Linked DNA regions of Stegostoma tigrinum. The protein of the gene in region 1 interacts with the protein of each later gene in a pairwise test. Links are inferred from orthologs where the notes say so. Each region holds a gene or a part of one and is shown in the gene's direction. Other genes may lie near its edges. The genes, in order: reep6, ptpn9a and litaf.

Evidence for each region.
Region 2: the proteins of reep6 (region 1) and ptpn9a interact in binary tests that used the Homo sapiens proteins (3 or more experiments, as listed by UniProt). The two-hybrid records come from large-scale screens. The link is inferred for Stegostoma tigrinum from reciprocal best matches to the Homo sapiens genes REEP6 and PTPN9.
Region 3: the proteins of reep6 (region 1) and litaf interact in binary tests that used the Homo sapiens proteins (3 or more experiments, as listed by UniProt). The two-hybrid records come from large-scale screens. The link is inferred for Stegostoma tigrinum from reciprocal best matches to the Homo sapiens genes REEP6 and LITAF.

The regions. Positions count from the first base shown.
Region 1 is NC_081383.1:11,411,165-11,422,866, reverse strand, and holds the start of reep6 (receptor expression-enhancing protein 6), read left to right. Parts: upstream 1-6,353; 5' UTR 6,354-6,507; coding exon 6,508-6,622; intron 6,623-11,702. Other genes in the region: proprotein convertase subtilisin/kexin type 4-like, read right to left, coding at 943-1,110. UniProt on the Homo sapiens protein: Required for correct function and survival of retinal photoreceptors. Required for retinal development.
Region 2 is NC_081389.1:4,439,990-4,450,696, forward strand, and holds the start of ptpn9a (tyrosine-protein phosphatase non-receptor type 9), read left to right. Parts: upstream 1-6,223; 5' UTR 6,224-6,293; coding exon 6,294-6,326; intron 6,327-10,707. UniProt on the Homo sapiens protein: Protein-tyrosine phosphatase that could participate in the transfer of hydrophobic ligands or in functions of the Golgi apparatus.
Region 3 is NC_081376.1:5,008,601-5,019,300, reverse strand, and holds the start of litaf (lipopolysaccharide-induced tumor necrosis factor-alpha factor homolog), read left to right. Parts: upstream 1-5,644; 5' UTR 5,645-5,772; intron 5,773-10,700.

The DNA.
Region 1 (11,702 bases):
AAACTTTCCAACTAACATCTCACACCAAAGCACCAGCCTTGGTTATAATCCATATTTTGATTCATTTAACTCGAGTGGGAGTGCTAATGTAAAGGAGGCTTATACATTTAATAGCATTTACAGCACAAATTGGGACTGGGAAAAACTCCTTAACAGTGATGTTAAAATTAAATGCCAACATGTGTAGTGTTGCAAAAATGGATTGAAGCAGTTGCAAAACCTCAAACTATTGCTTTAAGCTCCACACACTTTTCCCCCAAAATACATGCCACATTTATTCTACATATTAGGATAAAGGCATGAATAGGAAAAGTTGCATCTATAGCAGACTGAATTATTCCCAATTAAAAAAACATTTCTCAGTCATTTCCATTTGCTTCCATCAGCAACAATACACCACGTTTTTACAGACCTCCCCAATACTCAAAACGATGAGATAAACATCTGCATTTCTTTGTTATCCCGGTCCTAAAACAGCTCTGCAGCTGCTTTAATTTATGGCATTGAGGCACCATCTTTCAGAAGTCAGAAAAGAAAACACATCAATACCAATAAAGAGTTATTTCCTTCTTAATTATTACATTGGTGTTACATCACTCCAATCCTAAACCAAGCATGCAAAGGAATAACAAAAAAAAGTGCACATTTTGTTTGGGCTCAACACAATACTATAGGAATAGTGCACAGTTTTAAAAATAAAAAAAATTGAGTGGTCAACATTTAATCCTCCTATCAACGCTCTAAGTAAAGCAAATCCCCAAGGATCTGGTGATCACATTGCCTAGAGGAGCTTGTTGTGTGTAAATTGGTCGCATAGTTCTGCATTATAAACTGTATAAGAAAGGCGGTTTATTAGATTCGGGACATACTTGGGCAGTGAAAAAATGTTCTATGTACGCCAAACTTTTGCTGGCACTAACCATTCACCAGCATAAGCCATACCCGTCCTAAGTTGATGAATCCGTGTTTGCGAGCTATCCTCTTGGCTTCCCCTGCCCCACCAGAGATGTGGACAGCCCAGGTGTTGGTGTAGAGCCGCCTGCCGCTACTAAATTCACCAACAACACTTGCAAACAGGCCAACCACTAAAAGCTGGCGGATATAACTCATAACGATGTGATGGACCTTCAAGCGATCTCAACTCCAGCCTCAAACTATGTCATTTTATAGCCAAGGTCAGCTCCAGCGCAGCAAGACTAAGAAGAAACTTGCTGCAGGTCGTTAAGGGATTTTTTTTTTAAAAAACTAAGCCTCAATACAATGTCGGGGGAGGAGCAGGGGCAATAATTGGCTACGGTTTCCAAAGTATCACACGCACACCATTAAATCAGGGATGAGAAACTTGCGGTAATTGTGTTATTGTTCAAGTTGGAGAGTGGCGCTCACGGAAACAGCCGAATGTTGCCGAAGCGGAGTCAGCGGGCAGGTTCATGTGGAGCGCCTGCCCTCCCTCCCTCCCTCCCTCCACATCACTCCGGGGTTTGGGGGAGGCGAATGGAACCTCAGCCAATGACCGGCCCGTTCTGGCGCGACGGTTGGCGGCGGTGACGTCGCCGCCAGGTGCGCCCGTGCTCAACGGTCGCTGGTGGCTGACGTAATCGGCAGGTGTGCTCGAGCTTAACGACTGAACACCTGAGGCGATGGGGGAAGGGATGATTGTTCCAGTTCTACGGGTCGGAGAATGGAGGACTTGGATATTGTATCTGACCTTGCTCCTCTTCAAAGAGGTGTAACGTCTGAATGAAGTCCTGAAGTTTCCACCACCGTCCCCATCCACAGTCACAATAACTTGCTGAGAAACCCATTGACGGCTGAGTCCCAAAACCCACACCCTCTACCAGCTAGATGAACAGGGAGGACATATGTAAAAGCAAAATACTGATTACTGGAACTCTACAGAAAGAAATTAAGCAGGTCTGACAGCATGTGTGAAGAGAGAAACTGAGATGAGACTCCGGTATGACTTCTTCAGAACTTAGCAAGTTCTGCAGTAAATGCACAGGAGCAACTATCACCAGCTCAAAGTTCCTCTCCAAGTCACACACCTTTCTGACTGGAAATTTTACTGGTGCCATTCTCTATTGCTGGGTCAGAATCCTGGAACTTCCATTTTAACAGCATAGCAAGTGTACCTGCAGCATTTAGTTCAAGGTGGGAACTCACTACCACCTTCTCAAGGGCAATAAGGGACGGTGAATCAAATTCTGATTTTACCAATGTCACTCTCATGCCATGAAACAACTTTTAGAAAGGGCTTAAAAAGGCTCATCTTCCCCTTGAAACCCTCTGTTACCTTCAGGCTTCGAGTTACTTTTCTGTGGGGGAAAAACTGCACAAAGAAGCTACAATTTCTGCGATTTAAAAAAAAACTTACCCTACCTCATCTTGCATTGTGAAAAAATAGTTTGTGGGCTTCATCCCAAATTTTGGCCATGATGTCACAATTTTATGTTATCAACAGATATGGAGCAATCAGAGATAGCACCCACTGATTTACAGCAAATGATAAACTGTGTGGGCGGAGGAAGAGTTGAACCTGTCATCATAAAACTGTAAAGTGGATATATATCTGCTGAAAAAGCTAGGGATGAAATTGAAAGAAATGTTAACTTAATAGATTTGTCTCTAAAATATGTCAAACAAATACACAATTTACTAAATTAATAGGTTTGAAAACAGAAAGTGCTGAATCCACTCAGCAGATCAGAAAGTATCTGAACAAAAAGGAATAGCTAATATTTTAGGGTTTTTCATCAAAGGGGATACAAATGTTGAATTACTGTTAAATATATGAGAAGGGATAATGATTAAACTTTGTAATTCTCTAATTAGACCACACTTTGCATCCTGTAAGTAACCTGGCCACTTAGAAATAAAGAAAAATCAGAAGTACAGGGGAATAAAAATGAACGGAAGTATCATGTCTCTCAGATTGGAAAATAATTTATGATTCCATTTGAAAGCAGGTAAAGAAGGCCCTTATTGCAAGCCATCACTACACAGAGTTAATGTTGTTACGCAGCAGTTTTTGAGACATCACCTTGCCTTACTAATACTCTATAAATAAATAACAGAGAAACAGTAATTATTAAGAACTTGCATCTCATTGGAGATGCTTTAGGCCAGTCCACATCCATTAGCCAGCTATGAAAACGGTGCTCATTTTTTAAAGCTATGACAAATTCCAAGGCAGCATCTGATATATTCTGCAGCATTCTAAAAGAATAATGTTTTAAATCAAACAGCCCTCACCAGGGACAAAAAGAAGGCCAAGATAACTAACTTTGCCGAATAAATTCCCAAAAACCAAACATTGATTCCTGTTACTATACCACATATAATGCAGTCCCAAAACATTTTAATTGTGAAAGTACAAATTAGATTCATTAGTAGTTACAAGTTGCAGAAATTTAAGTTTTACAGATTTTACATTGAAGGAATTTGTTGTATTGTTTTCCTTTTCAACTTTTACTTCAGATTATAACCATGTGCTCATTTTATGCCCTGGGTGTGGCTCCCATGTTAACTATTTTTGCATAGAAGTCACTGTAAAAGATGATGGAAAGAGGAAAGTGCATGGAATAACAACATTGACATATTCATTTGTTTTTGCCCAAATCTCTTTTAGCTCTTGCAGGTGTTTTAGTTATAATTATTTAGCTCATATTACAACAAACCAAGAAATTTATTATTTACTTTGAAACAGCAATTTACTGTTTTATGTTGTGTGACCCATTTTTCTAAGCACAACTTGTCTTCTATTAAAATGCAGCATAAAATCTACTGATAAGATTGCTTTTTTTGTTTAGATTTTAAGTGTATTTGTAGCATTTTCTGTGCTCTGTCTATTTGTGTTTTGTTAGCACCAATAAATGAGGGAAATATTTAATTATAATTATGATCAGAAGCAACAGTAATTTGAATACTAGCTTTCAAAGATCATGAACAGTCTTTTTGCAAATTACTCAACTGATTTAGACTCTTAAAAGTAGTTTACAATGCTCAGAAAACAACTTGAACATTTGAAAATTATACAATTAGAAGAAAATAATCAAACGTTTTAATTCTAAACCAAAAACAGGAAATATTGAAAACACAAACAAGACACCTGTGGAGAGAAAGGCTGGGCATTGGATTAGTTTTGGCTATTTGTCATAATGAGCTGAATAGACACTTTCACTAAAACAGCTACCAACTATGTTGCCTGCAAATGCTGGTAGTCATCCTGACTTTCTAGCCATTTGCATATATAAGTAGACTATGCATCATATTTACAACACACAAATACACCATTTGGTTCAGCTTGTCCATACCAGATTTTACACTCTGCACAAACCACCTCCACCCTTCTTCATCAAGTCCCATACTCTTCTATAACCTTTTCGCTCATGTGCTTAACTTGATTCACTGTAAATGTTCCACAGTACAGAATTGCAAACTTTACATCCTTGTTCACAAAAGTGTGTAAGGTTAAGATAGCAACTATGGATCATTCACTTTAAGGTTGTTGGCGGGAAAAGATTTAGAATCAATAATTCAAGACCCAATTAACAGTCTCTTTGAGAAATACAAAGTTGATTAAGAAACCGACATAGAATTATGAAGGGGAGATTAAGGCCATTAACTAGCTTAAGTTTTTGATGAACCAACAGAGAGAGTTGATGAAGGTACAAGTTATGGTGAAGTTCTAAAATACACTAGTTCAGCCTCAACTGAAGAATTGTATCCATGTCTGGATAGTACATTCTAGGAAAACATGAAAGCATTTTAAAGAGTGCAAAAAGTATTTACAAAATTAATTTCAAGTTTGCACAATTTTAGCTACCATAGCAATTTGAGAGGAGTTTTGATAGATTATGTTCAAAATAATTAAGTTTCTGCACAAAATGTAAAGTCCCTATAGTTGGGACAGTTAAAACCCAGAAAACATTAATTTAAGATGACTTGGAAAAGAACCAAAGGCAACATGAGAAAAATCTTTTTTATGTATTTATTGTTTATGATCTGGAACCTGCTCTGCCTCTGATAGAAGCACATTCGGCCATGGTTTTCCAAAGTGAGTTGAATCATTAATTATGTAAGGAAAAAGGTTTTCGTGGAGGTGGGAGAAAGCAAATGCCGATGAAATGTTCTAGCTGAAGTAGCATAGACACGACAGACTAAATGGCTTCATTCAATAACCATGTTATGCTTCTAGATGGTTCACCTCTCCTTGTGTTGGTGAGTTTCACAATCTGCCTTTGCGAAACAAAGTTTCTCTTGAATTGAAAAAGATTTTTAAATTAGTTATCTTATACATTTGGTCATAAAGTATTGGCCTCCCAACAACAATAAATGGTCTTACTACATCTACCTTAGGACTTCCAAACCTTTTCCCAATGATGCCATTTCAAGACTTGAAAATTGTCATGAACAAAACAGAAGGTGCTAAAAAAAAGCTCAGCAGGTTTTGCAATACCTGTGATTAAAAAAAAAATCAGAGTTAACATTTTGGGTCATTGACCCTCCATCAGAAGCATTGAAAATTGTCATGACTCCTCAAGGAAAACTGAGAAGTTGGGGTTGGTGGTGGTTGGAAAGACCTATGAGAACAGGAGGCAAGAGCAAAGACCTATGAAAACGAGAGGAAAGGAGCAGTGACAATGGGAACTGCAGACGCTGGAGAATCCAAGATAACAAAGTATGGAGCTGGATGAACACAGCAGGGTGCTTTGTGGTGATCATTACTGCCTGAAAAGCTTGCAACCCCAAAATTTCAGCAGGCAACTCTGCTAGAGTCACGAACCCCCACTTTGAGAAGCCTTGACCTACTCTAGTGAAGCAAGTTGTAGCATCAAATACGTCTAGTCGGTCTTCTACTTTTTCAGAATAAAACGTTCAATTTTTTTTCTGATATTGATGAACTCCGAATTCAGGTTTAACTCCAGTAAAGAGATAGTAGGAACTGCCGATGCTGCAGAATCTGAGATAACAAGGTGTAGAGCTGGATGAACACAGCAGGCCAAGCAGCTTCGGAGGAGCAAAAGGTTCCAGACCCGAAACTTCAGCTTTCCGGCTCCTCTGATGCTGCTTGGCTTGCTGTGTTCATCCAGCTCGACGCCTTGTTATCCCTTAACTCTAGTAAATCTGTTCTTGCATCTATAGTATTCTTGTGCCTCTATACAATTTTATAACACGGTGACCAGGACTGTAAATTGTACTCCAAAACATGGTCCCTTCTGGACTTGCCTGTCTATCATTTCTTTTTAAATCGCTATACAAAGTCAAATTGACAAACAAAGATCTGGGTATGAGTATCAACCGTGGTTCCAATTGGGCAACTGGTGTGCCAATCACAAAATGATGCCGGAAACGTAGCTCCAACAAACGGATCGCGTCGTCGTTAAGCGGATTGGCAGAAAGGTTTGAGAGTCAGCAAAGTGGAAGATTAGTGGGATAGCTGCAATAAACGGAACGCGTTGGGAGTTAGTAGTGTCTTCTGTTACCTTTAGTAGTATTTATTGCAAAATGCCGTCCTTGCGAGAGCGCTTTGAGAATTTCCTGAACGAGAAGAACTTCATCACCAACTTATTGGGGAAGATTGAAGAGAAGACCGGGGTGCGTAAATACAATCTAGCCACAGGTAGGTCACAGAGACTTGTTAGCACCCAATTGTAATATGTTGTTGAATGTCAACTTGCGCTGGCTTCGACTGCGATTTGATTTCGCTTGTAAAAAGAAAGAACTGAGGACGCTGGAAATCAGAAATTAGTGGAGAGCAGTCAGGCTTAACGTTTCGGGTTGAACGACCCTTCAGAACGCGTGTCACCCGTCTGCTACATGTTGCCAAAAGCTGTGGTTACGTTTTTGGGGAAGTCAAGACCCTTCAAGACACGAATCGGTGATATTGATAGTGGAAATTGTAAGGGTCACTTAAATACTTGTCTTTTTTTTGCAATCATGAGCTGTAACGATTTAAATTGCATTGTTAGTGCGTGGTTTTGGAGCTGAGAGGCATGTGGTTTGTGTCAAAGGACAACATTTAAAATTCCAAGATTTATATGATATTCTAAGCATATGCTGACTGAATTGGTACTCTTTATATATTAACAAGTTGGTTAGAAACTTGGTCTGTTTTAGTAAGAAGGAGGAACCACAATTGAAACAGTTTTCACTTAATTGTGGTAGATATAGGAAATCTGTGAATTTGGTTAAGCTGTTATTTTTGAAGGAGTAGCATTGTATGTTTCGTGCAGATTAGAATGCTGGGAGGTTATGTTGTGGGAATGTCACTGGATTATTAATCCAGATCCAAGCTAATCCTCTGGTGACATAAATTCAAATCAGATTCAATTAGTAAAAGCTGGAATTGAAAACTGGCCTCAATAATGTTGACCGCAGAACTGTCATCAATTGTTGTAAAAATAAACTCGTAGTTCAGAGTTCACTGCTTATGCATGTGACTCGTGACAGGAACGTGGTTGATTCTGAAATACTGTAACCCAAAAAGCCATTCAGTTCAAAGGCAATTGGGATGGGCAACATACTTTAACTTTTGCCAGTGAAACACGTGTGAAAGAATAAATTTAAAATTAATTTTATTATTGAAGCAGTGCCAAAAGAAAACTCCAGCACCAGAACTCATAAATTAAATATATTGGGGGAAAATTCAGCAAGGGGATTTCCTTTTTCCTCGAGAAAAGAGAAAATGGAGGGGTGACCTGGTTAAACCTGTGGTGTAGGACATCAATAAATTTGTTTGGCATTCCTTGTCGAGAGTGTTCAGAAATTGAAATCCAATAGTGCAAGTAATTGGGTGAATAGCATAGATGCCCTCTAAGAAGAAACTGAATGGACGTGCATGCAAAAAAAGGTTAAACTATTAGAACTGAATTTAATGAAAACTGAAGGAGGTTGGTGTGATGCACAAGCACTGTGAGCCAGTTGGGTCAATGACCTGTTTTCTTCTGTTCCGCACTATTGCGTGTACTATTTTGCGTCCAAATTCAGTTCTGATCCAACATTCAGCAAGTATCCCAGCAATATGCAAAATATTTTAAAGACAAGATGTTACCTAAATATGCCACTTCTTTTAATCTTCTGTTCAAATCCTATGCTATTTCAGGTCTATGTGTACCTTCAAGAAGCTCCTTTTTGAAACTTATTTCCTTAATTACATATTTTATTTGTCAATCTGAAAAGTTTTCAATTCAAGTTCTGAAGTATGGGCTTCTTAACACCAATACCAAAAGGTACATGTTGAAAGTAACAATCCTTTTTGTGTATTGAAATGTAAAAAAATTTCACATATTTTAGACTTCCACAAATGTGCCAGCTTTTTTGATACTAACTGTGTGTCTACAGAAATTTTAGTTTTCTCATTTATGCAATTGTTTATTTGCACATGGTGGAAATACCTTCGTGTTTTCAAATATCTTTTGGACTTGGGCAGGATAAAGAATGCAAAGGAATACATGAAGAGTAGAACAACCCTAGGAATTGCTGAGGATCAGAGGACTTTGGTGTGCATGTCCACCTATCCCTTCAAGCCATAGGACAAGTCGATAAAGTGGTTAAGAAGGCACGTGGATATTTGTCTCTAGCTAAGGCATTAGAAGGGAGTTTATGTAGGAATTGTATTTAAAAAGTTGGTCAGCCAACAGCTAGAGTATTGTGTGCATTCTGGAATCCACACTTTAGGAGGAATATATCATTGGAGAAGATGCAAACATAATTAATCAGGATTTTTTTTAAAAAAACAACAGCAAAAGAATGGTGGAAATCAGAAACGGGAACAGTCTGCTGGAAAAGCTCAAATCTGGCAGCATCTGTGGACCTAACATCTTCAGGTCCAGTGACCCTTCTTCAGATCAGTTCTTCCATGTTACAGAATATTTGAACTCTGTGACTAAAACATTAATGTGGTAATTCCCCAAAATGATTTCCTTAACTCCACTTACTACTTATGCAGTTAACTCCAGATAAACCACAATCCATTGCCGGATCATCCCTGTTTGGATAATGGCTCAGCAACTTGCTGGACATGGAACTGAATAACTGAAAAGAATAAATGCAAAAATACTGAAGTTGCTGGAAATCTGAAACAGGAATGGAGCACTGGGGAAACACACAAGGACAGGCAGCATCGGTAGAGAGAAAAGAGTTGGTGTTTCAAGTCCAGTGACCCTTCATCAAAACAGAAATAGACAGAATAGTCAGTAACCGTGCTGATAACATTCATGGGGTTGAGTATGTGATCTGTTATAATATGTACACACCATGTAACTAAGAAGAGCAAAATGTAATGGAAGTTCATAACTTGTAACTTGTATTGCCAGTCAACCTTGATGTTAAATTCCTCTCTTTAAATTAATCTTTGTAAGACTTAACAGTAAAAGTATTGTAGAGTACTAGAGTAGTATTACTGAGAGCAAAGACTTACTGCTGAAGGCCTTACCAAACCAACAGCTTCTGTTTTAAAATTTGCATTATAATTAATCTTGCGTGATTTGTTTTCTTGTGTCCAAAGGCAATTGCATGTGGCAAATAACAAGGAAAAGAAATTCAAATAAGCAATTATTTCCATAATGTTTCTAAGTTGTAGCTCCATTGCAAGTTGCATTTTAGCTCTGTACTGGACCTCAGTGTATTTTATGAAGTTGATTTTATAGCCAAATGAATGAATGCTTCACAAGGAACTTTTTACCTATGTTGCTAAATGTATGTATGATCATTTCGCTGAGGTTAATTGAAAACAGCCTTAGCAGACAGGACAATTTAAACTTTGACAACAGTGGCTGCAGGGTATTGATCCTCCCTATACTAAAGCATTCCCTCCTATGACAGTTTTAGTGGCAGCGATTTCTTGCATTTTATTGCAATATTTAAGTGATACACAGCTTTCCACATCTACAGGTGTGTTCTAGAGCTGGAGACGGAATTTATTCAAGCAGAGGGTGGTGGTGGAGGGTTTTTCATACCGAAGACCTGTGACCCGTGGTGTGCCGCAAGGATCGGTGCTGGGTTCACTGCTTTTTGTCATTTTATATAAATGATTTGGACATGAACATAGGATTTATGGTTGGTAAGTTTGCAGATGATACCAAAGTGGAGGTGTAGTGGTCTGCAAAGAAGGTTACCTTTAGAGTACCACAGGATCTTGATCAGATAGGTCAATAGCTGAAGAGTGGCAGATGGAGTTTAATTTAATAAATGTGAGGTGCTGTGTTTTGGTAAGGCAAATCAGATCAGGGGGAGACTTGTACACTTAATGGTAAGGTCCTGGCGAGTGTTGTTGAACAAAGAGACCTTGGAGTGCAAGTTCATAGTTCCTTGAAAGTGGATTTGAGAGTAGATAGGATAGTGAAGAAGGTGTTTGGTAGCTTGTGCTTATTGGTTAGTGCATTGAGTGTAGAAATTGGGAGGTCATGTGGCTGTACAGGAAATTTGTGAGGCCACTTTTAGAATACTGCATTGAATTCTCGTCTCCCTCTATATGAAACTTGAAAGGGTTCAGAATGTACTTACAAGAATGTTGTCAGGGTTGGACGGTTTGAGGTACAGGGAGAGGCTGAATAGGCTGGAGCTTTCTTCTTGGGAGCATCGGAGGCTGAGGGGTGACATTTATAGAGGCTTATTACATGAAGGGCATGGACAGGGTGAATAGCCAGGACCTTTTTCCCATGGGACGTGGGGTCCAAACCTAGAGGGCATACATTTTAAGGTGAGAGGAAGGCAATTTTTTGGTACGGGGTGGTGCATATATGGAATGAGCTGGCAGAAGTAGTGAAGGATGGTACGATAGCAACAATTAAAAGGCATCTGGATAGGTATGTGACCTAGAAAGGGTTTAGAGGGATATTGGGCAAATGGGACTAGATTACTTTATCATATCTGGTCAGCATGGACAAGTTGGACCGACAGGTCTGTTTCCATGCTGATCAACTCTGACTCTCTTTCATTTGATCAATATGTAGCTCAAGTTTTTTTAAAAAAATAATTTCTGGTCTGGTATCATGAATGAATTCCTATCACTTACATTGTGGTCTAAAATATCTGGCAATATGCATAAATGCACTTAAGTGCACAATGTACTGTGAAAGTATTATCATCCTAAACAAAGGGAATGGAGAAGAGTGATTAGTCTACTTGTTAATGCATGCCTCCTCAGGCTGGTGAGTGCTTTGGCCTGCCACCACTTTCAGCAGTGAGTCTTGCATTTATTTTTGGTGGGAGAGGAGGTGTAAGGCCAAGTGCTACTGTGAAAAATCAATTCTGACACATTAGGCCATTTTGTCAGGCCAGGGCCAAGACCAAAGATACACATCTGAGCCCAATAGACAGAACCTGGGCCATAGGGCTGGGGACTGTTGCCCTCAGATTGAAGGATGAAGTTGATGGCTTGAACCAGGAGCAGCCCTGGGAACATGGTTTCTCTTCTTGCCATTGAGTTGCAACTCAGTTGTAGCACGCTTTCTCTTCTTAATCACAAAATTCCAGATCCAAGCCTCCCTCCAGCACTAGAGCATAAAAACCAAGGCTAACATGCCAGTGCAGCACAGTCCAAAAGTGCACTTTCTTTTGCATGTGACTGATCTGCTGCCTTTGTGGATGTGACAAATCCCCATAGCACCTTATTCGATGAAGAACAGGGGAACAACCCTTGCAGTGTTGACCAATATTTATCCCACAGTTATCATCAAAATAGATGATCTGGTTTTACT
Region 2 (10,707 bases), on another chromosome or scaffold:
AATGATAAACCACTTTCGGCAGCTGGAGAAATACCCAATCCCTCAGAGAGGATTTACATGCAAAGCTGACAGGGGGCGCTGTCCTTCACAAAGTGTACATAAGCCACGCTGACTTGCAATTGTGTTCAGACAAGGATTTCCAGAAGTGTACTACAATTAATGCCCATAAGGGCTTGTACCAATATATCACCTGTGTGTCCAATTTTTCAGCAGACAACGGAAAATATTTTTTCAGGTCTACCTCTCGTCACCATTTGCCTCGGTGATGTTCTAATAACAGGGAAGACCAATAAGGAGCATTTAGAGAACTTGGACACAGTCCTTAGACAGTTCCACTTGATGGATTTATGCCTAAGAGGGGGGAAACATGTGTTCCAGCCCCGTCAAGTGACCTAGTTGGGCTACAGTTTCGACAAGACCAGGTTACCCTTTGGAGGATGAAGTGAGGGCAATCAAAGGTGCCCCCATGTCTGTCCAGGGGCTGAGGGCATTTCTTGGGCTGGTAAGTTATTATGGGAAGTTCAGACATAACATGGCCTCATTGCTGGCACTTTTGCATCAACTCCTAAAAAAGAGTCAGCCTTGGAAATGGTTGTATAGTGAAGCCCTAGTTTTCAGGGAAGTAAAGAAAGAGCTATCATCCTGTAAGACGTTGGCGTGTGACGGTCCCAAAACAAAGATGTGGTATTGACACGCAATACCTCCCCATACAGCACCAGGGTGGTATTAGCTCAGATGTGGCCCAATGGAGGGGAACACCCAGAACGTGCATCCAGGACTCTGGCTAATGCAGTGCATAAATATACCTAGAGAGAGAAGGAAGGATGGCACTCATATTTGGAGTCAGGAAGTTCCACTGATATCTTTACGGATGAAAATTTGTGATAATAATGGACTACAAACCCCTAGTTGATCTGCCTGAAGAGGACAAGGCAGTGCCACCCATAGCTTCAGGCCAAATCCAGCAGTGGGCTCTAATATTAAATGTGTATAATTACAAGTTGGAACACCATCTGGGAGACCAAGTAGCAAATGCTGATGTATTGGGCTGTTTCCTGCTGGCAGACAAATTTTATGCACACACTCAGTCACAGCTGAAAGATCCGGCCCTGCCAAAACTGAAACAACTGGTGGTGTTGGGTGAAACTAAAAGGACCGTCACAATTAGAGCTGAAACCTTTTTGGACCTGGAGAGACGAGATCACTGTAGAGGATGGCATTTTATTACAGGGAGCAAGAAGGATTGTTCCAAGAAAATGTCACTGCCTGACACTGGCAGACCTCCACCAGAGTCATCCAGGGGTTGCCAAAGTGAACGTGCTGGCGAGAAGTTATGTCTGATGGCCAGGCCTAGGTGCAGATGTAGCCATGTTGGTGGGGCAGTGCTCAGAGTGCCAACAAGGACAAGAATTACCACCAGCAGTTCTGCCATCTTAGTGGGGGCGGCTAGGTAAACTTTAGACATCTACTGTGCAGATCATTTCATGGTTGGGCATGCAGAGAGTACATTTGTCAAATGGGATGACAATAGAAAAACTGTGCGTATCTTTTTCAATACACAGAGTCCTGAAAGGGTAGGTCATAGTTACGTTTATCAGCAGAGAATTTGGGTATTTCCTAAAGTTGAACAGCATTGGACATGTAAGGACAACTCCATATTGCCCATTATCCGATGGCCTGGTAGAAAGAGCAATGTAAACTTTGAAGGCTGGCTTAAAGAATCAGCCTACAGCCTCACCAAGAGACGACACTGACCCAGTTCCTATTTGATTATAGGACTGTTTGATATGAAACTACAAGAATAGCTGCATCACCGTTTCTAATGGGGAGAAAACTCCACACCAGGTTAAGTCTGATCTTCCTGGACCTGGGGGAGGGTGAAACAGCATCAGGATTGCCAATGCCAGACTTGAGACTCTGCCAAGCAAGAGAGACGGTTTGATATAGGGGTCAAAGCCTGGTGTAAGTGTCACAGAAAATGGCCCTTCACCGGTAAGGGGCATGGTTAACACAAGATCAGGACCAGTGATGTATGAAGTTTGGGTCAGTATGACAGTCCTGAACAAGCAAATGGACCATATGAAGGCTGCAAATGCGCGAACGGTGTGGAAGCAAAACATGCCCGGCCCCTCGGAACAGTTGGCAATGCTACTGGAACCTGTGGGTTCACCTCGCCATCAAGTGTTGACAAGAGTTCTGAATCAGAGATAGACATGATGGATATAGCTACCACGAAATCTATGCTGCCAGGAGAATGAAATTCTACTGAAGCACTGCTTGCTGGGGCAACAGGCGAGCTCCCATGCATTACACGCTACCACATCCAACGCAGAGTTGGAGGAACCTGACCTGGTGCTAAAACACCCCAGGAGTCTCTCCAAGAAAAATGACTGGCCTATATCCTCAGGCTCAGAGAGGGAGGGATGTAGAGATTGTAACGAGGTCATGCAGCTGGACATCATAGAATATGGGATCCATGATTGCACCAGATTAACAGCCCCAGTCAGGGACCTCTGACTGACAAATAAAAAGGTGAATGTCAGAGATACTGCCACTCTGGGAGCTGATTTTGAGGAGGTTGTATTTGGGTCAAGGACCCTTCATGAGTAAGTAAAGGAAGGGTGACTCGCTCACTTGCTTCTGTGGAGTTATTTCAGTGATGCTCCATGTTTCAGTTGCCTTTGACCTTCCAGGTAGTATAGATTGTGGATTTGGAAGGTGCTGCTGAGGGAGCCTGGTTGTGTTGCTGCAATGCACTTTGAATAGAAGTACACATTCCTGACACTGAACATCAGTGGTGGAGGAAGTGGATGTGGTGTCAACCTGCCAATGTTAACCAGGAGAGTTGTGATAATGGGGGATTCACTGTTGTAATACCACTGAAAGTCAAGGGGTGTTAGTTAGGTTCAATCTTGTTGAAGATGATCACTATATGGCACCTATGTGTCCAAAACTGGGATATTGTCCAGATCTTGTTGAATTTTGATGTGGACTGCTTCAATATCTGAAGATTCCTGAATGATATTGAAGTTTGTGTCATTATTAGTGAACATCTACACTTTTTACCTTAGAAAATGGAGGGGAAGTCATTGAAACAGCTGAAGATGGTTGGGCAGAGGAAACTACCCTGAGGAACTCCTGAACTGATGTCCAGGAATTGACATGCCTGACCTCCAACAACTACAAGCATCATCCTTTTATGTTTGATATGAGTCCAATTAGTGGAGAATTTTACCCCAATTCCCATTTACTCCAGCTTTACCAGGATTCCTTATAGAATCAGAGAATTAGATGGCATAGAATAGGCTCTTTGGCTGATCAGTTCTGTACTACCAAAAATATGCTGCTGCTACTATATATACTAAACATATTAGTCCCACTTCCTCACACAAGGGTCATAGTCTGGGATGTTTGCTGATTCAAATACTTTTTAAAGCTTATGATATTTCCTGCCTTAACTACCCTCCCAGGCAGTACATTCCAGACCTCCTCCACATTTTGGGTGAAAAAGATTTTCCTCAAATCCTTTCTTAAACATCCTGTCTTTCACTTTAAAAATTGTGGTTTAATTTTCCCCTGCTTCTTGGCTTTTTAACTAAGGGGAATAGCTGCCTTTTATCAACACGATCCGTGCCCCTCAATCTTATACATTGCTTTCAGGTCTCCTCTCAACCTTCACTCCTCCAAAGAAAACAACCCGATCTCATCTAATCAGTCTTCATTGAAATGGTCCAGCCCAGGCAATGGCCTGGTGAATCTCCTCTGCACCTGATCCGTGCAATCATATTCTTCCTCTTGTGCGGTGACCAGAACGGTACACGGTTCTTCAGGTGTGGCCGAACCAAAGTCTTTACAGCTCCAATGTGATCTCCTTGCTTTTATAATCTGTGTCAACTGATCATAACTGCCCTATTGACCTGTCTTGTCACCCTCAGGGATCTGTGGACAAGCGCCCCAAGACCCCACTGTTCCTCTGAGCTTCTTAGTGTCTTGTCACCCATTGAGTACTTGCTTGCTCTGCTCCTTCCAAAGCGCATCGCATCACATTTATTAGGGTCAAATTCTATCTGCCAGTGATCTGCCCCTCTGACCAATCTGTTTATATCCTCCTGTGGCCTAACACTGTCTGCCACCTGGTCAATCTTTATGGCTTCCAAAAATGTACTTATCATCCCTCTCACATTCTCAACCACATTATTTGTGAATATCACAAACAATAAGGGATCCAGTGCTGATCCCTGTGCTGCACCACTATGCACTGTCTTCAGTCACACAAACAGCCTTCTAGCACCATCCTCTGCCTCCAGTCACAAAGCCAACTTTGGATCTATCTTGCCAGGTTATCCAGGATCCAATGAGTTTTTAGAGATAATGGGAACGGAGAGAGTGGTCTCTCCGGAAAGCAGAAAGGGGTGGGGATGGAAAAATGTCTCGGGTGGTGCGGTCGGATTGTAGATGGCGGAAGTGTCGGAGGATGATGCGTTGTATCCGGAGGTTGGTAGGGTGGTGTGTGAGAACGAGGGGGATCCTCTTTGGGCGGTTGTGGCGGGGGCGGGGTGTGAGGGATGTGTTGCGGGAAATACGGGAGACGCGGTCAAGGGCGTTCTCGACCACTGTGGGGGGAAAGTTGCGGTCCCGGAAGAACTTGGACATCTGGGATGTGCGGGAGTGGAATGTCTTATCGTGGGAGCAGATGCGGCGAAGGCGGAGGAATTGGGAATAGGGGATGGAATTTTTCCAGGAGGGTGGGTGGGAGGAGGTGTACTCTAGGTAGCTGTGGGAGTCGGTGGGCTTGAAATGGACATCAGTTACAAGCTGGTTTTCTATCCCCACCCCTGTCTGCTTTCTGGAGAGACCACTCTCTCCGTGACTCCCTTGTTCGCTCCACACTGCCCTCCAACCCCACCACACCCGGCACCTTCCCCTGCAACCGCAGGAAATGCTACACTTGCCCCCACACCTCCCCCCTCACCCCCATCCCAGGCCCCAAGATGACATTCCACATTAAGCAGAGGTTCACCTGCTCATCTGCCAATGTGGTATACTGCATCCACTGTACCCGGTGTGGCTTCCTCTACATTGGGGAAACCAAGCGGAGGCTTGGAGACCACTTTGCAGAACACCTCTGCTCAGTTCGTAACAAACTACTGCACCTCCTAGTCGCAAACCATTTCCACTCCCCCTCCCATTCTTTAGATGACATGTCCATCATGGGCCTCCTGCAGTGCCACAATGATGCCACCCGAAGGTTGCAGGAATAGCAACTCATATTCTGCCTGGGAACCCTGCAGCCTAATGGTATCAATGTGGACTTCACCAGTTTCAAAATCTTCCCTTCCCCCACCGCATCCCAAAACCAGCCCAGTTCGTCCCCTCCCCCCACTGCACCACACAACCAGCCCAGCTCTTCCCCCTCCACCCACTGCATCCCAAAACCAGTCCAACCTGTCTCTGCCTCCCTAACCTGTTCTTCCTCTCACCCATCCCTTCCTCCAACCCCAAGCCGCACCCCCATCTACCTACTAACCTCATCCCACCTCCTTGACCTGTCCGTCTTCCCTGGACTGCGATAGGGTTAGGGTCCTATCCCCTCCCTACCTATACTCTCTCCAGCTATCTTCTTTTCTCTCCATCTTCGGTCCACCTCCCCCTCTCTCCCTATTTATTCCAGAACCCTCTCCCCATCCCCCTCTCTGATGAAGGGTCTAGGCCCGAAACATCAGCTTTTGTGCTCCTGAGATGCTGCTTGGCCTGCTGTGTTCATCCAGCCTCACATTTTGTTGTCTTGGATTCTCCAGCATCTGCAGTTCCCATTATCTCTCCCTCCTCTGATGCTGCTTGGCCTGCTGTGTTCATCCAGCTCTACACCTTGTTCTCTAAAGATTCTCCAGCATCTGCAGTTCCTACTATGTCTTGTATGATTTTTTTTTCCCCCTTACTGCACTTGGTTAGGGTTTTGTTTGAAGGCAACGGATACCGGGGAGATTTGGGCACCCAACTGAAGATATTGAGACAGGATAGAATTACAAGGCGGGGGGAAGAGGGAAGGTCCGGGATTTGAACCCGGGTCGCCCGGTCACCAGCCCAGTGACATGACCACTGCGCCACGGTTGGCGGGCAGGGCGGGGCCGTGGAGGATGAACCTGTGAGCAGAGCTCAGCCATTGTTTGGCTGAGGGAGGGAAGGAAGGAAGGATGGGGGCGGAGAGTTCGTCCAGAAGCCGGGGGTAGCAGCGGCAGGCGGTTGCAGTGAGAGCGGAGCGCAGCCGGGCCTGGGCGGAGAACGGAGTGAGGATGGCGGCGGAGCTGACGGCCGAGGAGGAGCAGGTCAGGAAACAGCTCAGACCGGATAATGTAGTGCGCTTTGTTTTTAAGGTGGGGAACCGGGGGGAGACGATACTGATTCTCCCCCCCCCCCCCCCCCCATATCTGTGTCGGTGGTGAATCGGGCGGCTGTTTCCACATCCCCCACCCCCACCTTTTCCCGGGGTAGGCCCACCGTTACCACGGCAGCCGCGGCCTATCGGGGCACCGGGCTCGCGTACCGACACCAGGGCGAAGGGGTGATTCCTCCCCCCAGCTCCCGCTCCTTTCCAGGCAGCTTCCCAATGCGGCGTTCACCCTGATTTAATGACAATTCTTTCACTCCCGTCCTTCAAACTTTAAAAAAAAATCGTCTTTTTCTTCCCGTGCAGGCATTTCTCTTTTCTGAAGGTCGGATTTATTTTAATTCTAACGTTCTTCCCCCCCCCCCACCCTTATTTTTCTGAATGCAAGTTGAGGGGGAAAAATTCACTAAGCGACAGATTTTTTTTTTCAAAATCTCCACAGAATCTCAAGGCTTATTGTACAGTCCAGTTGATTCTGTTATCGTGGGTGTCCTTACGAAAAAGCTGCCATTTACTTCCAGCAAGCTTTTGTTCTGAGGCGGTGTCAAGCGAGCAGTTTCTCACCGGTTGGGTGCGTTAGTCACATCCCAAAGATAAATGGATCTTAATTTCAAGAGATGCCTCCAGGTTGAGGAGCAGAAGTTTTGTACTTGAGAAGGGAAAACAGTACATTTGGAGAAATTGCCATTTCTTTGTAGTAAACTTATCATTTCCGAGCACAGTTTAAGTGGTAGACCATGGAGGTTTAGGAGTGAACTGACGTTGATACGTTGAAAGAGCATTTCGTACAGAATTCATTTTGCACCCTTTTAAAATCAGTAGAGCTTGAATATGTCATGAGGCATTTCTTTTAAAATAATTGATATCTTGCCAACACTGGCTTGTTCAAAATAGGCACTGTGTAGTTACTGTGAAATATCTTAATATTTGATAATGGAGACCTGTAGATTAACAAATTTCTTCCTGTTTGCTCCTGTTACCTGAGTGCTAGTCAATATGTAAGCATATGGCGTCATGTGATACTAAACCACATACGAAGAAAAGTTCCAGAACCGTTGCTTGGTCTTTCCTGAAATGGTTTCTTGCAGTTGGAGCTCTCTCCAAAATACTGGGCATCATTGGTGAAGTGACAAATGTGTGAAATGGTCACTTTTTAGAAATTCACAACGACAAGGTTAAGGTCAAGGTCAGGATCAAAATCAAATCCCTTCCTCTGCCTAACTGTGCTGGAGGAGGCAGGTGTGGATGAAGTGGGGGAGAGGTTCCAAACAATTATTTGGGGACTAATCCTGCAACTCTGGATGACCATGATTTGCCATCTTGATCTGTGGGGCGGGAGAGAAATACAGTAGCTATATACTCGTAGAGAGGTACAGCATGGAAACAGACCCTTTGGCTGAACTCTTCCACATTGACCTGGTATCCTAAACTGATCTAGTCCCATTTACAGGCATTTGGCCTATATCCCTCCAAATCCTTTCTACTTATATACTCATTCAGATGCCTTTTAAGTGTTGTAATTGTACCAGCCTGCCCCTTTGTCTGGCAGTTCATTGCATACACACATCGCCTTCTGCATGAAAATGTTGCCTCTGGGATATATGGCATCTTTCAAGGTACTTTTAAAAAGCATGTTATCTGTTCCATGGATGACAAGTTTTTCTATCTTGTGCTGTTAGAAATCATTGGAATCCATTGAATTCTGCTGGACTTTCAAATCCAGGACTGGCAGTTCATATTGAGTGACGGGGGATGAATGGAAGTGTTAAAATTAGGATTGGTATATTATCAGCTGAGGATACAGCTGTGAGTACTGGTGAGAAGATTGCAACAAGCTCCTTGTACTCATGCTTGCTGAAACAGATTTGCATTTGTTATGTATATTTAAGTTATTAATTGAAACATGCTGCACATTTCTAAAACTGTGTGAACTTAGAATACCATACAACTCATTATTAAGACAAATATATGGAAGTCAGTTTCACATTGTTTGTGATTGTAATCACATTATAGAATGGGTGGGAGAATTGGTTACAGTGCGGTGTGTATTTACATATTTTCAGTCTGCGTTGCTACAGTGAGTTGCAGGACTTGCACTGAGGTGGACTTGATGATTTGGCGGAGTTTATGTTGACCTAGATTGGATCGTGGAAAATGTTAAAATTTTCATCCTTGGCTTTAAGTCCCACCGTGGACTCAACTCTCATCTCATCCAGCATGCAGTGCTCCAACTTTGTGACCATCTAACTCCACTGTCTCAATCATCTTGTTCCACTGGTGGCTGAGCCTTCAACTGCCAAGGACCTAAGATATGGTATTCCCTTCTTACACCTCTTTGGCTCCTTTTATATATTTTCTTTAAAACACTCCTTAAAATTTATCCTTTTCATCAAACTTTTGGGCATTTATTGTAATGTTGTCTTAGATGGCTTGGTGTTGGAATTTGTTCCAGAAGGGCCCAGTGAAACACCTTGGAACATCTTGTGATTGATAGATGCCCTGTATTCATAAATTGTTATTGTTGAATGTGCAGTATAAATACAAGTTTTTTTTTCTTCGTCTTGACTCCAAGGCTGCAACAAATGAGGAGTAGATGGAGTAAGGTCGAGGCAGTTGGGAGACAGTACAGTATTAACGTTAGTGAACATAGTCGACAGTTCTTTCAGCTGGAGTCCCAGCCTGTCAATCCCTGATGAGTATCAGTAATCGATAAAACAAGATCAGGATCAAATCGAGTTGCGATAGGTCCTGTGGTTGAGTAACCTGCCAGTGTTCACCCTCTCAGACGCTGCCAACCAAATGTTTCTTTTGGGACTAGATGGAGGCAGTTCCCACCATGTTCAGCAAATGTAGTTGCCCTTTGCACTATAAAAACTTACAGGGGTCCAGGAAAATGGTGAAGATGTAATGTTCATCCTGTCAGTTTATTTATTTGCCTCTAGCTTGGGAATGTGATATTGCTGGAAAACTGTTGATCCAAAGTCTGGCTGAAAACTCCTGACTAAGCTTCTAATTAACAGAAAGCTTGTGATGCTCAGTGACACGGAAAAATGCTGCTCGTTAGTCTGCTGCATGAAAGAAACTTGACTGCTTTGAAGTACTGTAATGCTACTGTCAGTCTCAAGAGTTGATTTAGTCCTTCCTTTTTAGTCTAGCTAAAGTCCCTGACTCAATGATTTTGCTAAGTTTCATTTTTACAATACTTTGTCGGAAAATTAATTGATTCTATGCTAGAAGCTTTTGTATATGGTTTCAGTGGAAATTGCTAATTATTTCATTTTTCTTTTAAAAATGTTAACTTCCTGCCCAGTAAGTAGTAATTTTATTTGGTGATCTTAGGAATTCGTTGTGAAATGTAACACTTGGTATTCCTTGGGAATCGAAAAGACAACTGTGGAATTAGGGCATTCTGCCCGTTGAGTCTGTAACACCATTAATGAGATCTTGGCTGATCTAATAATCCCAACTGCACTTTTCTGCCTTATCACCATAACCCTTGATTCCTTTACTGATTAAAATGTCTGTAGCTGCCATGAACATACTTAATGGTCCAGTCTCAACAGTCCACTGCAATAAAGAATGTGACAGATTCACTGCTCTCTGGGGGAAAAAGTTCCCCCCTCATCTGTGATAGTAGGAATAGCTGATGCTGGAGTTTGAGATAACACAGTGTGGAGCTGGAGGAACACAGCAGGCTAGGCAGCATCAGAGGAGCAGGAAAGTGGATGTTTCAGGTCTGGATCCTTCTTCAGAAATGGGTGAGAGGAAGGGGCATCTGAAATTAATAGAGGTGGGGGCGCGGTGATAGAAGATGGACAGTGGAGCAGATTGGTGGGAGAGAAGATGGATAGGTCAAGGAGGCAGGGATGAAGCTAGTAAAGGTGAGTGGAGGTCAGAAATTGGGATGGGGGTTGGTCAGTGAGGTGGGTGGAGCGGGTAGGTGGGAGAGAAGACGGACAGATCAAGGAGATGGGGATGAGGGCGGGGTCTCGGTTCGCAACAAATGACAACACCTCCCAGTTGCAAACCACTTCAACTCCCCTCCCATGGCCTGTATGACATGTCCACCCTGGGCCTCCTCTCGTGTCACAATGATGCCACCTGAAAACTGGAGGAACAGCACCTCATATTCCACCTTGAACCCATTGAATGTTCTCTGTGTGGACTTTACAAGCTTCAAAATCTCCCCATGCCTGATGTCATCCCAAGACCAGCTCAACCCCCCCCCTCATCCCCGCCTCCTTCACAACTCCATCTTCTCTCCCACCTATCTGCCACTCCTACCTCACTGACCAACCCCCATCCCACTTCCTGCCTAC
Region 3 (10,700 bases), on another chromosome or scaffold:
CAAAGAGAAGCATCTCGCCCTGTAATCTGTAAAAGGAGTGTGAAAAGTGGTGTGACCTGTCTTTCATCAACTTCTAGCGACTAATAAAATAAATTCTTAACGCTCACTTTACAAACAAGAAGTAATAAATTATTTCTCTAACTCTAACAGTGAGCAAATTAACTAAACTATTACCAAACTGAATAAGCACCTTCTAACTACTACCCATACCCAAATAAAACAAGATTCTGAGATAATGGGAACTGCAGATGCTGGAGAATTCCAAGATAATGAAATGTGAGGCTGGATGAACACAGCAGGCCAAGCAGCATCTCAGGAGCACAAAAGCTGACGTTTCGGGCCTAGACCCTTCATCATGATGAAGGGTCTAGGCCCGAAACGTCAGCTTTTGTGCTCCTGAGATGCTGCTTGGCCTGCTGTGTTCATCCAGCCTCACATTTTATTATCTTAAAACAAGATTCTAATGGATTGCTGTTGTAACAAATACAAGTCCCACTTATGTAGGTTATGAGTCTTCTTAAATGTTCTGTGCCTTCACCATCGTATCTTCTGGTCAGGAATATTAACTAGTTATGCCTTTGGTACCATTTTTTATTTAGACGGTGCTTTCTCCAAGGCATAGAGGAGGCTATGAGAGCCAGCGATTCTCTCTTCAGGCCTGAGGGCGTTTAGCTCTAGCGGATGGCAGTTAGCTCTGTAGTCTTTGTCCAAATCTCTCCTTCTTTTATATCCTTGATGACATATCAATACTTCTTAGAATAGGATTGGTCCTATGTTGTCAAAGCCATAGATTTAAATTTAATCGGTTTTTGGTATCTAAGTCCCTGGTTCAAATTGATTGGCTAAATTCAAAAACTTGTTGTCCTGGTAAAAACTGCTGCTTGGCCAGCTAACTGTTTGGCGTCTTGATACAAATATTTCAATTTGGGTGCTCAATGTGTACTTGCAGACTTTCGAGCTGCTGCTCACAGGCATCCATTTTAAATCTCTAAGCACAGAAAAAGCACGTCATCTTTTAAAGGGACCACACAATGCTCTCTCTTCCCCCCACCCCACCAACATTTTACAACAATAAGATTCTAACTTCCTACCTCCCAATCCACAAATACTCTACCCAACACTGCAACAGTATGAACTAATGGCATTTGCCTAAGTTGCTGAAGTTCAGCCAAAGCAATGTACAAAAAAACACCTTCAAGAATGTTGATCAGTTTATGCTTCCGGCTGTGGACCCAATCCCAGGGCAACACATGGCACAGTTCATAACCACCTGGTAACGAACTCTTTTACGTGGGGATGCCCTGGGTGACTGCTCCTGTGAGTATATATTGTTGTATGGTGTGTTAAGAAAGGGTCAACGTAGTAAGTGGAAGTTGCATTGATAACAAAGGGAAGATAAAGCCACCGTAGTCCCCGAGGACCATAGGCTGCTCTCTCATTACAGAGAGAGAAAGGGAGAGAGAGAGAAGATCTGTAGCTCCGTTGAGGTCGTAGACTTCCTCAATGAGCTGATGTGTGTGAATGCAGATATTTTGTCACCCTGCTAGGTAAAATCATCATTGCGCCTCTGGTGAAGCGTTGGTGTTCTGTCCCGTTTGTTATTTATATGCTTTGATTTGCTGGGTGGTCCAGAAGTGATGCCAACTAGCCCAGCAAACCGAGGCATATAAATAACAAGCAGGACAGAACACCAACGCTTCACCAGAGGCGCAATGACGATGTTACCGAGCAGGGTGACGAAACACCTACAACCAAACCCACCAGCTCAGCGAGCAAGTCTACAACCTCAGATCAAGAGAGATGATGGGCGATGGTTCAACCTGAGGGTCACCATGTCTTAGACACTTAGCAATTTTTAATAGATGCACCATAGAAAGCATCCCATCTAGATGCATCACAGTATGCTATGGTAACTGCTGTTCCCAAAACCACAAGAAACTACAGTGAGCCATAATCACAAGCCCTGTCCATCATGCAAACCAGCCTTCCATTCTATGACTTATCTGTACTTCCTGCTGCCTCGGGAAAGCAACTAACGTGAAAGACCCTCCACAGGCAGATCACACCATACGAAGTATGTCAGAGTAGCAAAACAGAGTGCAGGGTATAGTGTTACAGCCGCAGAGCAGGTGCAGAGAGAGAGATCAACATTAACATTTGAAGGGTCCATTCAAAAGTCTGACCCCAGCAGGGAAAACCCCTTCCGCCCCAGTTATATTCTCTTCATCCTCTTCTGTTGGACAGAAGATATAAAAATTTGAAAACATGTTTTATTAGATTCAACGGCAGTTGTTGTCAGACTTTTGAATGGACCTCTCAAATGTTAATGCTGGTTTCTCTCTCTCTGTACCCTCTCTGTGGCTGTAAAACTGTACCCTGCACTCCGTTCTGCTACCCTGACATACTTTGTATGGTGCGCTCTGCCTGTAGAGCATGCAAAACAACACTTTTCACTGTATCTTGGTAAATGTGACAACAATATATCAAACCAAGACTCAAAGGGAGAGGTCACGAAGTGGGTCCTTCATTAGTAACTGAACCTGTGATATTGACATTATTCTGCATCACAGAGCAGCTATCCATCCAACTGAGCTAACTATGCCCCTGCAGTCATTGTAGTGTTTTGTATAATAGATATCAAAGTATGAGATGAAAGGGTAGGGAAACCCCTTGTCCCCCTTTAGTTTACTTCACTCAGTTTGCATTTAGCTGATTGATGTCTAACAATGAAACATACTTATTCTCCTCATACTTCCTAGTCCTGCTCCTTAGTTTTATTCAGTGGTCTATAGCATATTCTTGATGTTAGTTTGGAATTTTTAAAATCAGGCTGTTTAATCAGAAGAGGCATTTTTTACAACTTTTTACATACCACATAATCAGCTTCTTTTACCTCCCAATTGTCACTGAAATGTCATCCATTTGGCATTTTAAATGTCAATATTCCGAATCTATCCTCATTTTCTCTGGTTGGAGTTATTCCTAGCTCAAATGGAGACGGTTGTGGCTGTTGGGGGTGATCATGTCAACTCCAGGACATCTCTGCAAGAGTTCCTCAGGGTAGTGTCCTAGGCCCAACCATCTTCAGCTGCTTCATCAATTACCTTCCCTCCATCATAAGGTCAGAAGGGGGAATGTTCACTGATGACTTCACAATGTTCAACTCCCTAGATTCTGTAGCAGTCAATGTCCATCTTCAGCAAGGCAACACTTGCCCTTCCTCAGGCAGCTCAGGAAATTTGACATGTCCATAAGGCCCCTCGTCAACTTCTACATATGCACCACTGAAAGCATACTGTCCGGGTGCATAACGGCCTGGTACGGCAACTGCGCTGCCCAGGACCATAAGAAACTACAGAAGGTGGTGTGCACAGCTGAGAACATCATGGAAGCCAACCTTCCACCCATGAGCTGCATTTACAGGGCTCAATGCCACAGAAAGACTGCCACCATCATTGAATACCCATCCCACCCTGGTAATGATCTTCTACAGTCTCTTCCATCAGGCAGAAGATATAGAAGCCTAAATTCACATATGAGTGGGTTCCTGAACAGCTTCTTCCTGGCTGTTATCAAACTGATTAATGGACTCTAGTCTCAAATAATGCTAATCTTGCTAATGTTGATCTGCCTAGCATGCACACTGTGCAATATAACCTGTATGCTCTGTCTAATTCTTTTCACAACCCCTGATTGTACATCCTTGCTTACTATGATCTGCCTGTACTGCTCATAAACAAAGCTTTTCACTATCCTTCGGCACACGTGACAATAATCAAGACATGGACAATTATCAGGCTTGTGCTGATAAATGGCAAGAAACATAAAAATACCAGACAATACCTACATCACATAAAAAGGCCTTTAATCATCTCTCTTTGATATTCAAGAGCATTACCATTGTTATCCCTGGGGTTAGGATGAACATCCCGAGGGTTTCCATTGTCCTTTAATTGAACTGGTCCCGCCATATAAATCCTATGGCTGCAAGAACAAGTCTGAGAATGGGAATACTGCAGTGAGCAACTCACCACCTGTCACCCCAAAGCCCTCCCACCATCTACAAGGCACAAGCCCCCACTTTGCTGGATAAGCACAGATCCAACAACGCTCAAGAAGTTTGATTGGCACCTCATCCAACACCTTCAACATTACTCTCCCATTGCTCAGGTACAGCAGTCTGGACTACAGCGATGTACACAATACAGAAGCTGCACAGCAGCACCACTAAAATTCAAATCTTTCAAATCTGTGGCTTCTCCCATCAAGAGGGACAAAGGCAGCAGATACATGGGAACCACTTGCAAGTCCCCATCCAAGCCACACACCAAAAATATATTATCGTCCCTGCTGTGCTGCAGGATTGAAATCCTAGAATTCCCTTCCCAACAGCATTGTGGAGCAGTGGCTAAACAAAATATCTCAGCACTACATTCTGCAGGACAATGGGTGGACACTATATGTTGGCCAGTCAGTGACACCCACATCCCAAGATTGAAGGCTTTTAAAGTCTTACGGATGTGACTCCCCTCGCATTCATACCGTTCCATTGTCCTTGCCGAAGATGTTTCCTCCGTCTTATTGTACAACATTCCTAGTTCCTGCAAGCTCCTAGTTTGAATGATTCTTAATAGCTGCCTCAATGACTATCACGTTCTTCGACCAGTTTTGCTTTGTAAGCTCTACCTACATAAGAGGTCCACTTTATTCTGCAAAGAATCACAGAGTCTTAGAGCTCTCCAGCACAGAAACAGACCCTTCGGTCAAATTCATCCATGCCAACCAGATATCCTAAATTAGTCTAGTCCCATTTGCCAATATTTGGCCCATATCACTCTAAACCGTTCCATTTCATGCACCCATCTGGATGCCTTTTAAATGTTGTAACTGTACCAGCCTCCACCACTTCCTCTGGCAGCTCATTCCATACACGCACCACCCTCTGTGTGAAAAAGTTGCCCCTTACGTCCTTTTTAAATCTTTCCCTTCCCTCCTTAAATATATGTCCTCGAGTTTTGGACTCCCCTACCCTGGGGAAAATACCCTTTTACCCTATTCATGCCCCTCATGATTTTATGAAGTTCTATAAAGTCACCCCTCAGCCTCTGACACTCCAAGGAAAATAGCCCCAGCCTAACCCTACAGCTCAAACCCTCCAACCCTGGCAACATCCTTGTAAGTCTTTCAAGTTTCACAACAACCTACCCACGGCAGGGAGACCAGAACTGAACACTAGGTGCAATATGTCAGCCTTCCTGCTTCTATGATGCTTCTTGGCCGGCTGTGTTCATCCAGCTCCACACCTTGTTATCACAGTATTCCAGAAGTGGCCTACCTAACGTGCTTTAGAGATTCCAAGCAAGTTAATGTGAGCACTTTCTTGTCCCATTGACAGTTCATTGGACACAAGTTGGCTAAAAATACTTGACAGACATTATTTCATGCTTCTAGGGCTTGAACTCGGGTCTCTTGGTTCAGAGGTAGAGACATTACTGCCGTGTCTCCAAAGCCCTCCAAGGCAGGGAATTTCCTGAGGTCGGCAGAAGTGCTTGACTGATTGGGATTGGCCATTAGTGCCCGTGAGCGAGCTGGCAATCAGCTAATAGCGATCGATCCTCGCCGCAGTGCGGCGTCATGTGTTAAATAGAGTCAGATGATACTGGCTCATACTCAGGGACAGAGCTACAGTGTGTGGTTTGTTTGTGTTTTATTATACGGGTACAGGGGTCCCTTTACACCGCTGTCGGACGTGGTGCATTTGAAGGATTTGAGGTAAAGGACTCGTTGGTATTTCTGCAATTCTCTAGTTCGTTTGCTGGGCTTTGTCGAAGTGTTTTGTTTTTTTTTAAGTAAAAATTTTGTACGATGATGGTGTGTGGGTTAGAATCAGTTGTAATGTTGTAAACGTTCTGGAAGAAAGTGTCTCGTAGCCCACCCCCGCCCCTCAAATCAAGCAATGTTGTGTATGTTAATGTTAGGGAGGGTGTTTGTTTGAACTGAGTCAAAAGTGACTTGTTCACATCGTTGTATTTAAAATAGTTTGCTTTTTATAAATCCTGGTGCCTGGTAAAGAGATGAAAGTTAGTACATCTTACTTAATTAGTCATAAGACTCTGTATTAGGTCAACTCCTCTATTTTTAAAGCTAGCTACCACGATGATGTGAGAATAGCTAACTACTTTTAGAAGTGTCTTTACTTTTCACGGAAGAATCCACAAATTTCTCAACTCGCAAAGTCCCCTAAGCGTAGCGAACTGATCTCAGCTCGGTTTAATTTGAAATTTGTTTTCACCGGTCATTAAGCAAAGTGCATTTACACTAGCTAAAATAAACATTGCCATTAAAGCATACGCAGTTTCTGTTAAATAATTTAAGGGTGGGGTTGGAAATAGGGTTATTAGGCTATCGCTGTTTAGTACTAAGTAGCCAGAGCCTAAATGGAAAACGAACTGTTCGTGCTCGTTGTGGATTTTGAATCTGCATTAGACTTATAAGGAAATGGAGTTCTTTTAAATTAAAAAGCTGAAGAAAAGCCACCAGGATTTGAAATGTTAACTCGACTTTCTTTGCACAGACGCTGCCAGACCTGAGTTTTGCCGCAACTCTTTTTTGATTTGAAAATAAACTTCTAGTGTCTTATGCTTTTGCCACCTTTTTAATGGGTTAATACACCTGTAAACTGCAAGCTGTCTATAGGGGATTGGTGGAATGAACATGACCACTCAAGCCAATGGTTTTTAACTACTGTACAATGTTGTGAAGTTTGTAGGTAAACGTTTGTTTGTGAAAGCATGCTGCTTTACCTGAGTGTGGAGGCTGGTGATAATGGGGACTGCAGATGCTGGAGAATACGAGATAACAAAGTGTGGAGCTGGATGAATACAGCAGGCCAAGCAGCATCTCGGGAGCACAGAAGATGATGTTTCGGGCCTAGACCCTTCATCAGAGAGGGGGATGCTGGTGACTGTGTTTCTGATCTTTGTGTGCCTCTTTATTGAAGGCAGTATCTGCTGGGTAAACTTCCAGAGCCATATGTTATCCAGAGCAGTATGGTAGGTGTGTGTGGAGTTGTTTCTCACTGAAGTGTATAACAAGGTTGTGAGCTGCCACTATAAACTACACTCTGCTCTTTCTCTTGAGACTTGCTGCCACCATCCTCTTCAGGAAACTAGATCTACTTTCTCCAGTGAGATGGAGAAAAGCTGCTTGGCCTGGCCAGATTCTGTTGAGAACCATCTGGTTTGTTGTGGTAACAATTACAGGTTATGTTGATGATTGCTAGGCATTAGTCATTAAGTTTCTCAAACAAATGTTGAGTCCTTTTTATTTTGATAAACTGTTTTGTCCACTAGTCTCAATCTTATGTTTTAATATGAAGATCTCTCTAGTAGGTTTTCATAGCTGAACTAATGTACAGGACAATAATCTCCAGATAAAACTTCTGCCATGAATACAAAGTCAGAACTTTCTGCTAACACTTGGGTGCTTTATTCATTCACGTTAAATGTGATAGTAGGGTTTGCGACTACCTCCATTATGGGTGGTGTTTATGGCTGTCCAGAATTAACCTTTCTGACTCGAGCATAATAATGTAGTTACTGAAAATCTAGATCTAGCTATGGTGTAGATTGTAATCAGGGTCAATAGGATGTAAAATGTTGAATAATGCTGAAGATCTTGAACTCAATGACTATGAAAGGCTGAGTGCTGTATGGGAAGCTTCTACCATTTGAGCAGTGTGACCCATTATTGTCACTGTCAATCTCCTGACTTTCATGCATGTCTTTTTAATGTAGTAAGATGCCCCAAGGTACCTTCCAACTGTTTCTCTTAACACTTGACCCTGAGCTAGCTGACTGGAAGCTTGGTTAGAAAGCCATGTTTTAAGGAGCTGCAGCTATGGCCATCACTTAGTTTTTCAGACATGGTATGTGCTGATTGCCAGTATTAAAGTAGATTGCTGGTAGAAGGGATTTGATTGATAATGAAATGATAAGTTGGTGACCATTGGTACAGTGTTTGAATAGGATTTGGTGTGAGTTAATCTAGGCAGCAGTGTGAAAAATGTTCATGCTGTATTAAGGATTTTGTGAATTGAAACTTCAGTATTATAACATCCATCACTAGACTGGATGCTGGAGAAACTGTACAGATCTGGCAGCATCTGTACAGAAAGAATTAATATTGAGTCCAGTGACCCTCCCTAATAGAATTGTATAACTTGCCTATTTCAAAATTGACCATAACTTGATTGCATCATGCAACAGGCTTAATGAGCTGAATGGCCTAATCCTAATTGTGGCTACTGATGTTCTCTTGAATCTGTGGGATAGTGTTTTGTTCGGCACTTACTGATCTTAATGCTTTTAAGCTGCTACCATTAATGAATGCAATAAATTTCTCAAATCAAGTTTGAGGGAAGGCTAACCTCAATTTAGAGTACAGGCAATCTGCAAATTAAAATTACATGCTACTTAACAAGCAACATTTTTATAACTGAAATGGTTTTTCAGTCCAAAAACACTTTTTTCAGGACAAATTTTCAGACTGCCCACCTGAATTGAATGGAGGTGGGTCAGAGTTGCAAAGTGCCACTCTATCAGGAAATTTTGTATTTCTTTTGAAGTGGAGGTGCTGCTTTGCTTGAAGCCCAGTGCCTGTTTTCCACAAGGAAAACAGATCAATATTGTGAACGGCAAGCGGTGTTGCTAGGCTACTTGATACACTTATACAGCTGATCTCATCTCTGCCTCAGTTTGCTTTCTGCCCATTCCCTGTAACTCTTCAACCCATCACTAATTTAAAAATCTATCTGACAAGTTTATTCAGGGTCACATTATCCACCATGCTCTGGGGTCGTGAAGGCGATAGTCAAGACCCTTTATGAGAGAAGCCATTTCTCCTGTCTGTTTAAATCTGTTACACCTTAGTCTAACACTGGTCTCTCCTCCTGGGTTGCCCCTCTAGGTTGGAGGTGGGGGCAGTGTGGTGGAGACACATCTCCATGTCTATCTTGTCATTCCCACTAGCATCTTGTGCAAATTAACTAGATTGCCTCTTGCTCACCAAAACTTGGTCAAGTTTAGGTCTTAACTGCTCAATCCCTCCTTGTGAGGCAAGTCTTTTTTCTGGAGTTAATCTAATGAGTTTTCTGAACTGCCCACCCCCATGCAATTACTCCTCTCTCTCCAGTAAGAGAATAAACAGTGCTCAGTACTCGGCGGGGGCAGCGCAAGTTTGCTAGATACTTCTAGAATGGCACTGCCTGCCATAAAAGTAATGCATCTTCAGCCAAATTCACGGCGTGCTTAGGGAGTGTTTGAGGTTTTTTAACGCAGAGATCTATTTTCAGGCAAGTGTTACTTTTTTCTTTGACTCTGTGGTCACATTACCTATTTCATAGCTTTTGGTGAGCACCCCAGTACTTGAAGGAAACCTCAATTGATGGAATTACTTCCAATGGATTGAAGTGGATTAATGTTAATCCCACACATGGGAAATCTTAATTCCATATGTGTAAATGAAAAGTGCAGAGCAGATTCTAAATTGCATCTTCATGTAATGTAAGGGGTGTGCTGTTGTCTGCACTTCCTAGAATATCCCAGATTTTACCCAATGTGCCACTGCACAAGTCACAATTGGTTCACTTCAATGTATTGTTAACTAATGGATTAAATTACTTGGAATTTTTCTTAAGTCATCTGTTCTCTTGCTGTGGCTATTAAAGTTTGAGATTGCACTGCTTGTGTAGAAGTTGCCAGGTCACTTGGTTAGGACTCTGTGCTGCACTCCTCCAGTGGTAATAATAAAATGTGAGGCTGGATGAACACAGCAGGCCAAGCAGCATCTCAGGAGCACAAAAGCTGACGTTTTGGGCCTAGACCCTTCATCGGAGAGGGAACTGGAATAAATGGGGAGGTGGACCGAAGATGGAGAGTAAAGAAGATGGTGGAGAGAGGATAGGTGGGGAGGGGATAGGTCAGTCCAGGGAAGACAGACAGGTGGGATGAGGTTAGTAGGTAGATGGGGGTGCAGCTTGGGGTGGGAAGAAGGGATGGGTGAGAGGAAGAACCGGCTAGGGAGGCAGAGACAGGTTGGACTGATTTTGGGATGAAGTGGGGGGGGTGCGGAGAGCTGGGCTGGTTTAGGGATGCAGTTGGGGAAGGGGAGATTTTGAAACTGAAGTCCACACTGAGTCCATTGGGCTGCAGGGTTCCCAAGCGGAATATGAGTTGCTGTTCCTGCAACCTTTGGGTGGCATCATTGTGGCACTGCAGGAGGCCCATGATGGACATGTCATCTAAAGAATGGGAGGGGGAGTGGAAGGTTGCAGGAACAGCAACTGACATTCTGCCTGGGAACCCTGCAGCCTAGAGTTGCTGTTCCTGCAACCTTCCACTCCCCCTCCCATTCTTTAGATGACATGCCCATCATGGGCCTCCTGCAGTGCCACAATGATGCCACCCGAAGGTTGCAGGAACAGCAACTCATATTCTGCCTGGGAACCCTGCAGCCTAATGGTATCAATGTGGACTTCAGTTTCAAAATCTCCCCATCCCTAAACCAGCCCAGCTCCACCCACTGCATCCCAAAACCAGTCCAACCTGTCTCTGCCTCCCTAACCGGTTCTTCCTCTCACCCATCCCTTCCTCCTGCCTCAAGCTGCACCCCATCTACCTACTAACCTCATCCCACCTCCT